Notamacropus eugenii: one gene and its partner. The protein of the gene in region 2 purifies or fractionates together with the protein of the main gene of each other region. This does not show direct contact. Links are inferred from orthologs where the notes say so. Each region holds a gene or a part of one and is shown on either strand. Other genes may lie near its edges.

Region 1 (8,093 bases), on a different chromosome or scaffold from region 2:
GGCAGGGACAACGTCCTCTTGCTCCCTCTGCCTCCCTCAGTGCAGCCTGGGATCCCATTCACATTCTCTGCAGCCACATTACACTGTCCACTTGGGATCCAAGAAACCTCCGCGTCTCTTCTAGGTAAAGTGCTTTCTATTTCTGCTGCCCCCTTGTGTACTTTCAGAGATGTTTTATTTGGGAGAAACTGTAAAACTCTCCATTTCATCATGTTGGATTCAGCTCAGTATAGATTCTAGGCTGAGGCAGCCAATGATGGGGTTCAAATCTGGCCCATTGTCTGTTTTTTTACAGTCCAATCTAAAAAGACAAACTTTACTTAAAAAACTAAAACCATTCCTAGCTGACTGGCAATCCAACAGTAGGATGCAGGCTGGATTTGGGCCCAGGATCCCTGTTCTAGACTCTTCTAGGCTGTTTTGGATCCTTGCTCTCACATTGAGAATGTGATTTCTCACTCCCAGTTTGATGTCATCAGCAAATTAGGCATTTTCTCCCCAGCTGAATTGATATTTTTGCGTCTTTGAAATGTCATTCTTTTTTTAAAAAAAATAATTTAATTTTAGCTTTCAACATTCACTTCCATAAGATTTTGAGTTTTAGATTTTCTCCCCCTCCCTCTTGGAATGCCATTCTTGAGAGCCTCCTATACCTCTTGGACTTAATTTCCCAATTGTCTCTGGGTTCAAATCCAACCTCAAACACTTACTAGCTGTGTGACTGGGCAGATCATGAGATGCCCCTGACTTCATTTTCCTCCTCTGTAAAATGAACATGGTAAGGCTCACGTATTGCAAGGGCTGATCCTGACATAAAGCAAAGATGTGCCATTGTGTAGCTCAAAAGGAGGAAGAACACATATCCCTAGTCTCTTCTCTCCCAACATTTCTCCAGAGGAGATTTTAATGCTTGCTCAGAGGAAAAACAAATGGTTGGGTCTGGAGGCCACTCTGCCCTACTCAGAGATGGAGGGAACCAAGCTAGAATTATATCTATCTGCTCCCTTAAATATTGTTAGTGTAGGGGATGTGTGTTTTAGGTTCAAGATAAACTTCTGGTCATTTTTCATTACTTGGAAAGAGGAGGATCCCAAGCTTTATACCCAAGGATTAAAACTCCCTTTTCATTGAATGCCAATATACAGCAAATACACATAAGAACCAAGAAACTCATTTACCCAAGGCCATAGTCAAGCAGAGTTCAGAGAAAGTGCACAGAGGACATATGCCAGACAACACAGGGTGAAAGATCTCTCCCACTGGGAACAGGATAACTCAGCTCAACCAAGAGAGACAGTCCCAGATCTCTCCCCAGAGGAAATATCCTGAAATCTTTAGTGGAACAAGCTGGGGGTGGTAACATGCGAAAGATTGCCTGCCCCTCTCATGCTGATTCTGGCCTCCTCCATTTTCTCTCCTGAAGCTGGAAGCCAGAAGGAACCAAAGTGACTCTAAGCTTGAAGAGAATGAAGAACTCTCCTCTCTCCAACCTTGCCCCATTCATCTCCACCAATGAGGAAAGAGTCTCATTTGGAGTGCATTTAGGGTTAGGGTTAAGGTTAGATGAGCTTTGAGAGTAGGGTGACATTCCTCCCCAGGGCTGAAACTTTTTTCAGTTCCTTGCCAGGATCAGCTGGGGCAGGTCCAAAATCTGTAAGAATCAACCTAAGTATCAGTGCTTTCAAACAAGAATGATTCTCCTGTCATCCCAGGCAACCAGTCTTCAATACCATTGAAAATGATATTAAATACTCATTAAGAGTATATGCAATCCAGAAAAAGAACTATGGAGTCAGAATACAGAATGAAACAGACTCTTTTCTCTTTTGTCATATTTTGTTTTTCTCATGATTCCTCCCATTTGTTTTAATCCTTCTATGCAACATGACTAATGTGAAAACGTGTTTAATAAAAATCCATGTGTAGAGTCCATATAAGATTGCATGTCATCTTGGGGAGGAAGGGAAAGTGATTGTTGAAAACTGAAAACAAATAAATTAATAATTTGGGGGGGGGGATGAGTATATGCAGGCTTCACACAAAGTTGTTAAGTCATTTTTTCAGTCATGTCGTACTCTTCAGGACCCCATTTCAGGTTTTCTTGGCAGAGGTACTATAGTGGTTTTAGTCACTTCCTTCTCCAGCCCATTTTACAGATGAGGAACTGAGGCAAACAGTGTAAAATAACTTGTCCAGGGTCACACAGCTAATCTCAAGCCAGATTTGAACTCAGAGAGATGAATTTTCCTGACTTCAGACCCAGCACTCTCCACTGTACCACCTGGCTTTCCAATTCTGATTTCAGATGATCTCTGTGCTTTTCACCAGCAAAAGCAAGACGGAACCCCTCAAGGTCTTAGTGTCATCTTTTCTAGAGATTGCTTCCCATGTGCCCACATTAATACACAAACATTCATGCAATTAACAGATGTTCAGTGTTGTAACAACAACACTCTATCGGATTAAAATACTGAGCCGAAGCAATACAATAGTACAGCAAAAGACTTGAATTCAAATCCTGACAACCAACAGTCGGTGTCAAGGACTTGTTCAGGTATCACCCTTTCAGTAGAACTTGTAAGAAATAAAATACTCCAAGTCAATAAATGCACGATTATCTAACAGTGGGATGAAGCCAAGCTAGAGAGGTCTGTGGCATTTCCAAACAAAAGTAATAAAACAAAATAGAACTGACATCAAAAACTTCCAGGATAGAACCAAACTATCTGTGACTCTTTAAAAAAATTCTGCTTCCATTGAAGAGAGAAGGAAAAAAAGAAATGAGAATACAAGCGTTTTCCAGACAGAATGGGTGGGAAACAAAACTGACCCCAGAAGACAATTTCTAGCCAGCCTCGGGGGGCTTGTCCGGGAGCTACTCATTCAAAACAAAGGGTTGGGAAATGGAGACCCAAGAGATGCTTCAGGATACGCTGGCTCAAAAAACCAATCTGAGGGGGAAGATTTCCCTCCAAGTTCATTGTCTCTCACCTGTGGATCCAAGAGGGACAATAGAAATTTCTAGCCTCTTCCCTTCCCCCCACCTTCTACAAGGGAGACTTTACTCTCTGCTAGGAGGGGAAGCAGGAGAGCGGTGGCTGAAGCCACCAGGCTAGAATTATATCTATCTGTCCCCTTAAATGTTAGTAGTGTAGGGGATGTGTCTTTCAGGTTCAAGGCAGCTTCTGATCACTGTTTCAATAATGGTTTGGTGGGAAAGAAGGACCCCAAGGGAGAAAATATACTGGACAATACAGAGTGAGGGAGTTCTCCCATTGGGAGTGAGGAAATTCAGCTTAACCAAGAGAGCTGGTCCTGGTTCTATCCATGGGGAAGTTCCCCAAAATCTCCAGTGAAACAAGCTGAGGATAGAAGCCTGATGGACCAGCTCCTCTCATTACCTACTTGCTAAGATTAGATCCCTTCCATCTTCCCTCTCTCCCCCTCCCTCCCTCTCTCTCTCCTTCTGTCTCTCTGTCTTTCTTTGTCTCTTGTCTCTCTCTGTCTCTCTGTCTTCTGTTTCTGTCTGTCTTTGTCTCTCTGTCTCTCTGTCTCTCTCTCTTCCCCTCCCCCTCTCCCTCCCTCTCCTTCTCCCCTCCCTTCCCATTCCCTCTCTCTCCTGGAAGTCAGAAGCACCTAAGATTCTGCAAGCTTGAAGATTGAAGCATTGTTCCCTGCTCTGCCTCTCACATAGACACAGACCATTCACCTCCACCAATCAGGAGAGATTCTCATGCTAATGGGCTTTGGGGCTGGGGTTACATGGCTGTTGTGGGATCAAATGACTTAGTAACATATAAGGAGCCATGCAAAGGTTAACAGAACTGAAGACAAAGCCCAGACCCGTTGTTTGGAACTTCTCTGGTCCCTTTGAAGATGACCTCGCCTGACCTCACCAGCCCAAGAAGGCTCAGGTAAGCTGCCAGGTTCTGTCAAGAAACTGGAGCGGAGGGGTGTCCATTCCTACACACAACCCTCTCCTCCTGTGTGTCTGAGGATGAGATCAGAGAAGGAGAGCCCAGACACCCCAGGATTAAGTGAGGACAGTGCTCAAGGGCACAGAAGTTACTCCGTGATGGCCAAGGTAGCAGAAATAGGATTTTTTTTTGGGGGGGGGAGGATCATCACCTTGCCAGAACTCAACTTAGACCATCTGGGCTGGAAGGGAAATTCTGTGCTGGCCCTGGTGTGTGTGTTAGTGTGTTAGTGTTGTGAGTGCTGCTGTTTCCCCACCAGAAGGAACCTCGATCTGATGAAGTCCTCTGGATTGGCCCAGGGCCAAGGAAGGCTGGAGAAATCCATTTAGGCCAAGTATACCGGAAGGGAAGCTATCTGCAAGAGTCCTTCACTCGTGGCATTTGTCAGGCACAAGTTCAGCTTTCTCCACATTGAAACAAAATAACCACATTAAACTTCAGTCACTTGGGGGTGGGGGTGGGACTGGGCCTGCCCAGAGAAGCTCCATCAGAAGCAGGGGTCCTCAGACCTTTTTCAAATGTGGGAGAGCCACGAGGTTTCCCTCCAGGGCAGTGTCTAATGAAAATCCCGCACAAATGGGGGTGGGGGTAGGCTGGGGTGGTTATGCGATTCATTCCAATGCAATAAACTTTTTTATAACTCCCGACTGGACAAAGGGAGGCCACTCCCTTATCCCCCCTCCATCCCGCTCTTCCTGCCATCCCAAAGGTAACAAGGGGGCACCAGGGGGATGCAGGATCAGCTAGGAGGCCCGGTCCAGGACGGGATCGTCTGGACAAGATCCCGGGGGGAATTCTAGGGTTTGTGTGGTGGTGTTCTGGGCCCTGGGCACAGAGGGAATGAGGAAGGGACGGAAGACCTGGTGTGAGGGGGCGAGAACTGCAGAAGGAGGGGGCGGGAGGAGGAAACTGGGAAGGAAGGAGGGTCGCAAGATGAGGCGGAGACAGAAGGAGGAGATGGGGGCGGAGAAGAGGGAGGTTGGTGGAGTCAGGAGATGGGTGGTACCCTGAGCCCCAGTCCCGGGACCAGCGGAGCCTGGGATCCTGGGCCGGGGGAGGCGGAGCCGGGAGCCGAGGGGCAGCGAAGGCGGGCAGAGGGAGGAGCCCCCGGACCTGGCCGGGACCAGAAGCGGCCATGGCGCGGCTGCTCGTTCTCACTGCTCTGGGCTTGGCTCTAGCTCTCCTGGGCGAGAGGTTTGTGGCGCTCAGGTGAGAGGGGACTTGGGGCGGGCACAGGCTCCTGTGCGCCCTCGGACCACGGACTGAGAGCTGGGTGCGGGGGCTGGGGGGGACCATTTCTCTCGTGCTCTCCTCTACCCCCAATCCACTTCCATGCTCTGCGGCGGGAGGGTCCAAGGTGAGATCTGCGGCGACAGGGGGAACCTGGAAACTTCCCTTCCTCCGGTGAGGGCGGCCCGGCCCCTAAGCGCCCCGAACCGGGCGGAGGCGCCGGGCAGAGGGCGAGAGACAACGATCTGGAGGCCCGAGCGGCCCCGCCCTGGCCTCTGCCTTCCGCCAGCCTCGTCCGGTTCCTGCAGTCCCTCTTGAAGAAATGGGTCACTCAGTCCCCGGTCACCCGGCCTGCGAGGCTGGAGAGGGCGTGGCCCTGAGTCGCCCCGATTCGCCACCTCCACACGCTCGCTCTCCGCCGGTAGTGACAGCCCAGAAACTTTGCAACTTGTCTTCGCCCTTCCAGGGCGCCTCCCCGGTCTGCCCTCCCCCCCAGTCTCCTCTCTTCCCCTCGCGTTCTCCGACTCCCCTTTCCCTGCTCCCCAACACTGCACCTCCCGCCCCCGCCCCCCCCCCCCACAATCTGTTGCCTTTGGCTGGGGAGCATGCTCCTGTCTCAGCGATTTTTCCAGGCTGCTGGTGAAGAACATCCCTGCCCCTCCCCATGCCCCCAGCGTTGGCAGCAGCCCCACGCCCCAGCCTTAAGCCCAGTCTTGCTTCCTGGCTCTTCACTCGGGTCCCAGTTTTCACGTGTGCCTCACTGATGATGGTGACTGCTGTGTGGGGTAGGGGCATGTAAGGCCGATTTGCCAATTGAAGACAACAGTTAAAAGCTGGTTCTGACTGTGGGATGAAGGAGAAAGAGCCTGCCCAGCTTCTGGGTCCAGCGCCTCCCCACATAGCAGCTCTTGGCCAGCTCTCTTCTCCTCCGGGCTAAGAGACTGAAGATTCTGTGGCCCACGTGTTCTCCATGCAACTCCCAGGCCTGGAGATGCCATCTTTCCCTTCTGTCAGCCTAGGAGCCCGTGACCTTTGGGGCCTCAGTTTCCTTCTCTGTGATGTGTTTGGGCTTGATAGCCTCTGAAGTTCCTTTTCCATCTGGGATCCTACAGGGACTGCCCCCGGAAGACGATGGGGGCATGGAGGGATTCAGCCCAAGGAGCAGCCCCAGCCAGCATCTCCTGGATGCTGGCCATGCGTGGGCCCCACAACCTCTGGGGGCTGGGCAGCCACAAGGATTGTCCTGGGCCCAAAGCACCAATGTGGGCTCCCTGTTTCACCATTTGCTCCAAGGGGCACCGGGAGATAGAGGCAGGCTGTTCTCTTCTTTCTCCTTCCAGTTGATTGTGGCATTCAGGGTCCACTGTGGGCAGCAGAAAATGACTGAGAAGTGTCTTGGCCATCACGCCCCCACTATCCACATATGCATACGGACATGAGAACACAAGCACATCCTGCCATGTCAGTGGATCCTTGGTCAAATGAAGAGACCAGATCCAAGTGGGCCATGCTGCGTGTCCCTCTCATTTATTAATGGAGTTTGGGGATTAGGGTGGAGACACAGCCTTTGCCTGCTGAGGGCTCCCAATCTGAACAGTTACAGACCTCTTCCAGCTGGCAGGAGTAGCCTGAGATATGGGCCCACATAAGCGCTGGCTGCAATTGACTTTACGTGGCTTAGTGCTAGAATGTTGGACCTGGAGTCAGGACATGTATTTCAGTTGTTTCAGTCAGGTATGACTCTTCATGACCCCATTTGGGGTTTTCTTGGCAAAATAATTGGAGTGGCTTGCTTTTTTCCTTCTCTAGCTCATTTTACAGATGAAGAAACTGAGGCAAACAGGATGAAGTGACTTGCCCAGGAAGATGAGTCTTCCTAACTCCGGGCCTGGCATTCTAGCCCCTCCTCTACCTAGCTGCCCTAAAGTCAGGAAAACCTGAGTTCAAATCCAGACTCAGGCACTTACTGGCTGTGTGACCCTGGACAAGTCCCTTAACTTCTGTCTGCCTCAGTTTTCTCATCTGCAAAATGAGAATAATAGTAGCACCTTCCTCCCAGGCCTGTATGAGCCCAATGGCTGGCACACAGTAGGCACTTAAAACATACTGGTTTCATTTCTTCCATGCCGACCCACAGGGTGTGCTAGAAGCCGCAGAGACCCCAGGCCCTTCAGGAAGATGGAGGGAGTCAGGGACATAATAGATCTCCCCAAGGGTGTGGCCATGTCCTCCTGGGAGTCCTCCACCCAACATTCTGGAGCTTTCTGTGAATTCCTGAAGATGGTGGGTGCCTGTGAGGTGTATGTGCATCAGGGCAGGAAATGCTCCAACTGAATAACTGACTGTCACATCAGTAGCCAGGCTGATGCACTGGGAGCCTGATGGAGGCTTGCACTGGCAGGCTGAGTAGGGACTGTTCAGGGTACTGACTTATACCCTGGACCTTTGGAATTGTGCCCACTTGAGCAGGGCCATTCAAACCTTCTGTTTCTCGGCTTTGAGCAAGTTCTGTGACTCGGGTGTTTGCGGTGGGCCAACTCCACCCTTCCTGCAACAGTGTTGTCTGCAGAAGCTCACCAGGGCCAGCTCCCCAAGGGGACAACTCTTCTGTAATGAAGGGACCCTGGGAGTACAGAGTGATCAGTAGATACCTTCATATATGTTATTCTCCCCAGTCGGGGAAGCTGGGTCAGCCAGAGGTGCTGAGGCTTAGGTGCCCAGTATGGTGAGAATAGAGGCCTAGTTATTATCCATTTCAGTTCAGAGGGATCAGACAGAGGTGAAACTGTAGGGAGAGGAGGGAGCCCCGCCCAGGTCTGCCTGCTCCCAACAGGGTTTGCCTGCCCTCTGAGACAGCTGGTCCAGTTCTGAGCAGAGGAGAGGAAG
Region 2 (7,976 bases):
TTGAGGCAAAACGCCTTCCACATCCAGAGAAAGAACTATGGAACTGGACTGCAGATAGAAACAGACCATTTTCTTTTGTATTATGTTTTGTTTTGTTTTATTTAATAGTTTCTCCCATTCATTTTAATTCTTCTATGCAACATGTATTTAATAGGAAAGTATGTATAGAACTATATAACATTGTATGCTGTTTCAGGAAAGGAGTGGGGGAGGGATAGGGAAATGAGAGAGAGGGAGGGGAAGAAAATCTAAAATATATGGAAGTGACTGTCAAACACTGAAAACAAAATAATTTAATTAAAAAAATAAAATTAAAAAAATGGCTCCAGGCCAAATGCTCTCATTTTGTTTGACTTATCGGCTGTTAAAAAAAAAAATTAAGAGTTGAGCAAGAGCAGCCTCTTATTCCTCTCTCCCTCCACCTTCCAAAGTCAAGATCAGATTTATTGCCGGGGAAATTACCTTGCCACTCCTAAAACTGTCAATTACCACTTTTAAACAGAAGTGAGGCTTTGTTTGTGAAGTTTTTACTGACAGTAGCTACTGGATTTTAATTAGCAAGCCATTCCACTGGACCAAAAACCACCAAAGCAAGTCAAGTTGTTTTGTAACAAAAAGAATGTTGTAAGGACTATCATTATGTTAAGATTTAAAGACCTTGGGAAAAGCTTCAAGGCATTTTGCAATACTTAGTTTTAATCAAGGACCTCCCTCTCTGCATGTTATAGAGGGCTAACTACGTAGGGGTGAAAGCATTGGCTTTCCAGATTATCCAGGATTATCCAGAATAGGGATCACCTTTTTAAAAAATGATCATAGCAGTAGGCCAACTGGCCAATATAACACCACTTAGTGAGATGTATAACGGGCAAACTTCTCTCTCCTCCCTCCTTGATTTTCACCAGGTATTTGGCTCCTTGGAGATTCTAAGAGGGGAAAAAAATTCCCCAAAACTTTCTTTACTTTTCTTGAGTAGTATAGTATGAGTGTTAAAAATCTGATTTTTAAAAAATGACCAAAATAAAAACAGTTTTGTATGGTATACAAATCCTTCCAACCAGGTATAGTAAATAAGGATTGGGGTGTCCTACACCTGGATGTACTCTTTTAGTAGAAATGTACCAGTATATACCATTCTTGAGAGAGGGCAAATCACAACACTCAGAAGTTACACATACACCTGCTATAAGGAAGTTCCCACTTGACTTGCCAGTTTTTCAGCTTTTGTAGAGGCTGGTATCCACCCCAATCTTTAGGAACTCTCCCCCTCCCCCAAATCAACACAATGAGGGTACTTAATAAATTTTCATCTAATACTTTAGCTGTCTTCAACTGTGATCTTATAAATGGCATTTTTATTAAAAAGTGTGCACTTGGTTTCAATTGTCACCTTGAACCATTTTAATGGCTGGATGATCCTAAAAGTTGCTCTAGGCAACTCTCAAGTTACTGCACAGAAGGTGTAAACCTTCATTGCTAAATGGAGTTAAGGTTCCAATACCAATAAAATCACAGGTCCAATACCTGTGGGTGGGGTGGGTATGTTCTTAGGGTAGCAATTAAAAAGGGACAAAAACAGAGAAATAAGATCCACCTGCTTCAGGATACTCCTCCAAGTCACTAGGTTCTTAACGCTCTCTCTTAGGAAGCTGTGATTCAAGAGCCCCGCCCCTTAAGAGGATAGACAAATCCTTAAAGGATAAGGAAGCTTTCAAGCAAGCCCCTGGTGTGAGGCTAAAATAACATTTGACAAATATGAGGGCAATGCCTCAGGTTAACTGCATGCTACTCTACAAAGAGCAGTGAGTGGCCAGGGAATCCAAAGAATAAAGTTCTGGATCAACTCTCCATTCATTACCCCCATGTCTTGGCAAGTCCATTCTCCAGAGCCCTTAATTTTCAGACTTGTAAAATAGAGCAGGACTAGATCAAGGTTTATTAACCTGGTGGGAAGGAGAAGGGGGCAGTGTCTACGGACAGACTTCAAGGGATAGGGAACTTAGAGGGGTCAAAACAATTGCAATCTTCATTTTCCCATTCTAACTGAAATTCAGCATTTTCTCCAATTATGTAAAAACATTGTGACAAGCGGTCCACAGGTTCCACCGGACTAAAAACCAAAGGATTAAGGGGGAGGTGTGTGTTACAAGCTTGTTCCCCACTGTCACCAAGCTTACCCGTTCCTTCCGAAGCTAACCCACCTGACCAGGTATGGTGGAGAAGCGAACCCATGCAAGAAGCTGGCGAGGACCCCCTGGCAAGGCGGTCCTTTCTTCCTTTTAGTTCCAGTCTCCTCTCCCCCCTCTCTTCCCCTCAGACAACTCTAAACTCCACATCGTGGGAGGGCATCGGCCAAGATGGCCCGACCGCGCTCAGGCCGGGGGGCATGGCTGGGGTCACCACAACCCCTGCACAGCAACCCCCATCTCTTCCGCAGGAGAGAGGCAGCAAAGGGGAGGGAGAGGAAGAGGGAGAAGAGAGAGACACAGAGAGAGAGAAACTGGGGAGAGAAAAGAGGGAGAGGAGACACAGAGAGAGAGAAACTGGGGAGAGAAAAGAGGGAGGGAGAGGAGAGAGACAGACGAAATGGGGGAGAGGAGAAGAAAGTGGGCAGGGGGTGTGCAGAGGAGGCCAAGCTGTGGGGGGCAGAGAAGCCGAGCACCCCCCCAGCCCAGGGGTGACCCGGGGTCAGAAGCCCGAGGACCGAGGTTAGAGTGCGGCACGGCTCGGGTGCGGCCGACACAAGCGTCCGGGTCCGGCCCACGGAGCCTCGGTCCGGGGCAGGGGTCCCCGGGTCGCGGGAAGGGGCGCTCACCTGCACCGGACAAAGCAGCGCCAGGCCGATGGCCAACAGCAGCCCGGCTCTGGGGCCGAGCGCCCTCATGGTCGGCGGCGGTCACCGGGCCCGCGGGGGCAGGGGGAGCAGGGGCGCGCGCCGGAGGGAGGGGAGCTGAGCCCAAGGGAGCCGGAGCCGTGCCGTCCCGTCCCGTCCTGGTCCCGTCCCGGTCAGCTCCCCCGCGACGCCGCCTTCGCTGGAGCCGGCGGAGTTTAGTGAGCCCCCGGCAGGATCGAGCTAACGCGCAAGTCAGGAAGGAGGGAGGGGAGGGGGGAAGAATGGGGGGCGTCGCGCCTCCTCCTCCTCCAGGGTGGGGTTACGCATGCGGTCCGCCCCTTGGCTCGCCCCGGGAGCGGCCGCGGCGGCTCGAGGGGAGGGGTGTGACGGGCGCCTGGCTCACGCCCCGCCTCCTCTCCCCTCTCCCCACCTTCAGTGGGCGGGGCCTGGAGCCGCCCGGCGCTGCTCCTCCCCTTCTTCCTCCCCCCACCTCCGCCGAGCGCGGGGCCGCAGCTGCCGCAGCTCTCCTTCGCGTCCTCTCCTAGACCCTCCCAACGATCTTCCCTCCGCCAGTGCCCCAGCGCCGCCTTAGGTGTCTTCTCGGCCGCGGTCTCTCTCTCCTAGCATTATTAATCCTCGGTGCAGGCGGCCTTGCTTTTCGTGTCTCTTTCCTGTGGCTCTGCTTCCACCTCGCCCGCTCCTTGCCCCTTTCAGTGGCCCGGAATCCTAGCGATGCCCCTTACCCCCTCTCCACCCCATTCTTCACCTTGAGTCCAATGGTTTCATCCTAACTCAGGGACCTCCATCCGGCCCCCTCCCTTTTTTCTGGAATGCTTTAGGGGAGGAGAATGTCCCCAGGGACTTAGTCATTTTTCCTTGTCCAGAGTGACAGTTCACCTTTCCTGGGGACAGCGAGGGGCCCCAGGGTCCGGAGACGGCCTGTTTACTTCCAGAATTGGAGGGTGGGTGGTGTGGAGTCCCTCCAAAGGATATCTCGTAGCAATTGTTTCGAAAACAAAACCGCATCCACCCAAGGGAAATGAAGTGGTCGGGTTTAGGAGCGGGGCGGTTGTAAAGGAAACACCCCTGCTGTGAGCCACGAGGCCCGAGATCAAATTATGCCTCTGAGTCAGCTTTATCGAATCTTTTCACTTCAGTTCAATCACCTTTTGTTACGCCGGCCAGGGGATACGGAAAAGAAGCCAAAGACGGCCCATGCCCCCAAGGAGTTTACGGTGACCACGTGCAAGCAAATATATACAAAGCAAGCGATATACAGAATAAATAGGAAATAATTAACAGAAGGCACTGGAATGAAGAGAGGTTGGAGAGGGCTTCCCCAGGGAGCCGGGGAGATCTGAGGAGAAGGGAGGGCATTCTAGACGTGGGGAGGGGCGAGGGAAGGGAACTGTCCTAGAGAGGAGGGGAAGAGGGAAAGGAGAGGAGCGGGGAGAGAGGAAGGGAGAGGATGCGCTCTTAGTTTTCTCATCTGTAAAACAAGGAGATTTAACTAGAAGATCGCTAATGGGCTGTCCAGCTAGGGACGCTCCGATCCTGGCCGCCCCACGCAGTTTTATTGGCTAATACTGCACCACAAACACAGCTCCCAGCAGGACAGCCAGGGCAGTGGGATCGCTCCCAGCGAGCTTGACGCGCGGTGGCCTGACCCGTGATGTGAGGTTATCAGACAAGCCCAAAGCCAGAGAGGAGTTAGTCATTGGCGGAAGGGAGGGGAAGGGAGGGGCGGTGTGGGGAGACTGTGACTCTCCCTGGGAGTCACGCTTTAGATTCTCGGGGCCTGATATCTAATCGTCACCGACCCGACTGTGTTTACAGCTGGCTCCGCCAAAGCTCCCCGAGTGCTTGAAAACACATCTTTCTGTAAAAGTCTGCATTGCTGTTTGCAAGTACCTGCAGCTAACTGGGGAGCTTGAAAACCAAGCTGCAAACTTTTGTCTGGTGTCACCCTTCTGGTTCGGGGCCAAGGAGACTCATCTGCCGCTGAATCATCGTGATAGAGAATAAGAACCCTTAGAGACCCATCTAGTCCAATCCTCTATTTTATTAATGTAAATTTTGGATCAAAAAGTTGAATTTTCAATAAACACCAAATAAAATAGGCATATCTATATAAATAGTAGGACAGAAAAAGGATTGTACATGAAACTGAATCTCTATTATGTGCAGATAACTTTAATATATTTAAAATTCAACATGTAACTTTGTAAGTCGTTCTACTTTACGATTCTTTTTGGCCTTTCTGCTTTCTCTTAGGAATTTTTAAAACAATGGTTCAATGACTTTTTTCTTTTTTGCTGTCTTATACTTCTCTTTTTGTCCCTTTCCCTATCCTGCTCCCCACTGGAGGAGAAAAAAAAGACAAACTAAACCTCTGTGACAAAAATTCAAATTCAAGCAAATAAAATTACCACATTGGCCGTGTCTGTCACCCCTATTTCAGGAAGTATCAACCCACTCATTTAAGGAAATTTTCCTAAAGAGCTAAAATTATTTGATCAAAGTTAAAAAAAAAAAGTTAGTATTTCTTTACAAAGTAGAGGTTAATTGACTTGTCCAGAGTCCCACATGTGATCGCTATCTGAATCTGGACTTGAATTCCCCTTCCTGGCTCCAAGTCCAACATTCTAATGTTTCACTTGCCAGATCCAAGATTTGCATTTGTGTTACAATGACACCAATACAAAAACATTCTAACCTACATTTTGCATCCTTGTGGTGACAGTTTTTCCCCCCAGATTTCAAACAAATTGTTTCTTGCAGCAATCAAAATTACTAGTTATTTGCTTTCAGTAGTTAAGGGCATTGAGGCAAGGATGACTTTTCCCAACAATGGAAGGCCAAAGTAGAATGAGGTTAGGCTATGCTACTATAACACTCACTCTGGATTCAATCTGCCAACTTCCATCAAACTTGGTCTTTAATCCTCAGAGAGGAATGACTACTTTTCTCCTCAGGATTCTTAGCTGTTAACCCTGAATGGTTGTTGTGACTTCCAACACTTTCACTCCTAAGTTGCCTTTGATTGTTTCCCATTACCAAGCAGCCTGGGGAACCAGAGTAGCTTTTAGAAAAGGTATTTACTAAAAAGATACTGCAAGAATAGTTAATGCATTACCATCTCTCTTTACATTTTAATCCACTCTCCTTAGGGACCTTGATGTCCCTGGGGAAAGTGTGTTCAGATTTAAAGGAAGATGATAATGGAACATATGTATAAAGGACACATTTGGCCAAGGAGTATCTCCTAACTATTGGTCCTGGAAGTCTTATCTCCTTTTGTGGAGTCCTCATGAAGTTCCCTTTAGGTGCACCTCTCTGCTGGACTCTAAAGATTAGTGCCTTTCTCAAGTGCATAGCCAACACTCCTCTCTATCACAAGAATCACTGTCCTTGAAACTGCCACCATCCTCAGATGACTGTTTTCCATCTATCCGTAGGTGCATCCTTTGTCATCAGCCTTTACCATTCCAGTGGCCACTAATATTGACTCCAATCACTGGTGAAAATTCTGCTGGAACCTCAAGATACCCTAAATGTCCAAGTTCACCTAGTAACTCTCCTCTTGGAATATATATATATATATATATATATATATATATATATATATATATATATATATATATATATATATATATATATACACACACACATATATATATATGTATATATATATATGTATATATATATATATCTTTTAACTTAAGATCAGAAAAGAAAACAAAACAAAACAAAATGAAAATGAAAGTGAGATCTCTGATGTCTAGGTGAGAGATAGGCCTTCCTCCTACTCCAGCAGCTCAGAGTAATCCTTACTTCACACAAAATCACACATTGCTGGAAACAGCTTCTCAATCTATACACTGGACTGGAGTCAAGTAAGGAATATTTGACAGTGCTCTGTATAAGCTGGAATACAATGGAGTCAGGCAGTTAAGTAGTACAGTGAATAGAATGCAAGGCCTGGAGTGAGGAAGACATCTTCCTGAATTCAAATCTGGCCTCAGACATTTACTAGCTGTGTGACCCTGGGCAAGTCACTTAACCCTGTTTGCCTCAGTTCCTTATCTGTAAAATGAGCTGGAGAAGGAAATGGCAAACTTCTCAGGAATCTTTGCCAAGAGAACCCCAAATAATGTCACAAAGAGTCTGAAATGACTAAGCAACATCAAACAGTGGAATCAGCTTCGGTTAGCTCAAGCCTATTGTTAAATTTTTCGTGTAAATACCTCAGAAACTGGCAAATACTACAAATTAGCTTGATTTCTCATTTTGTTGATTGTCTAGACTTTAGATAGTGATGGAGAAAATATTAATAATGCAAATTCAGCTTAAAATTGTGTTGGCATACATTTATTTATTTGTCTATCTATCCATCTATTTATTCGTTTATTGAGGGAAAGTAAAATAACCCTATATAAAGGAAAATCATTGCTTGCTTCCCAGATGAAGAAAACTGCAAATATTTTTGCCCTCTTAAAATAATAAAAGACTAATAGTATTTAATTTATTCACTCTCTATACTCATACTAGCAATATTATACACACATATAGATATATGAATATAAAATCTCATTCTCATCTTTTTTATGGGGTTACTCTTGCCCAAGTGAATCAAATAATTGCTTCTTATAATTGGATAAAAGTAATTGGATATAAGACCACCTTCTGTTGGCTCACTGAAATCATCTTCTGGGTAACTGTTTTAGCAGACTGGACAATGAGAATATGGATTAAGTACCTTCTCTGCAATTTCACATGATTTTGATTCCTTTTGCTTGGTTTCTATTTTGAAAGCTTTTTATTCCACAAAGCTTTAGGATTATGTGTATTTTGGAGTGGAGTTGTTTAGTAAAGGATAGTCTTTAAATTTTTGTGGTTCAGAGTTATGCTCCATTTCCAACACAGTTTGTTGAATCCTCATGAATTTTTTGATGTCTATATTATAACATGGGTATTTGTTATCTATGAGTCCACAGAATCTGGTCAACCTCTGATGCATAATTCTAGCCTCTGAGTCATTCTTGCTCAGTATTTATTAGGAACAAAAATTTTACAGCCTGGAGTGACTTGGTTTCTACCATTTCTTTATATAATCTTCATTGATCACTAAGTTCCTTAAGTA

The links. Proteins that work in one complex are often made in the same cells at the same time.
Region 1: the proteins of NPC1 (region 2) and serum paraoxonase/arylesterase 2-like purify together in Homo sapiens (affinity purification with mass spectrometry; 3 studies listed by BioGRID and IntAct, with this or other methods). This does not show direct contact. The link is inferred for Notamacropus eugenii from reciprocal best matches to the Homo sapiens genes NPC1 and PON2.

What each region holds. Positions count from the first base shown.
Region 1 is NC_092874.1:823,987-832,079, reverse strand, and holds the start of serum paraoxonase/arylesterase 2-like, read left to right. Parts: upstream 1-4,991; 5' UTR 4,992-5,112; coding exon 5,113-5,186; intron 5,187-8,093. UniProt on the Homo sapiens protein: Capable of hydrolyzing lactones and a number of aromatic carboxylic acid esters. Has antioxidant activity. Is not associated with high density lipoprotein.
Region 2 is NC_092875.1:247,653,530-247,661,505, forward strand, and holds the start of NPC1 (NPC intracellular cholesterol transporter 1), read right to left. Parts: upstream 3,085-7,976; 5' UTR 2,885-3,084; coding exon 2,816-2,884; intron 1-2,815. UniProt on the Homo sapiens protein: Intracellular cholesterol transporter which acts in concert with NPC2 and plays an important role in the egress of cholesterol from the endosomal/lysosomal compartment.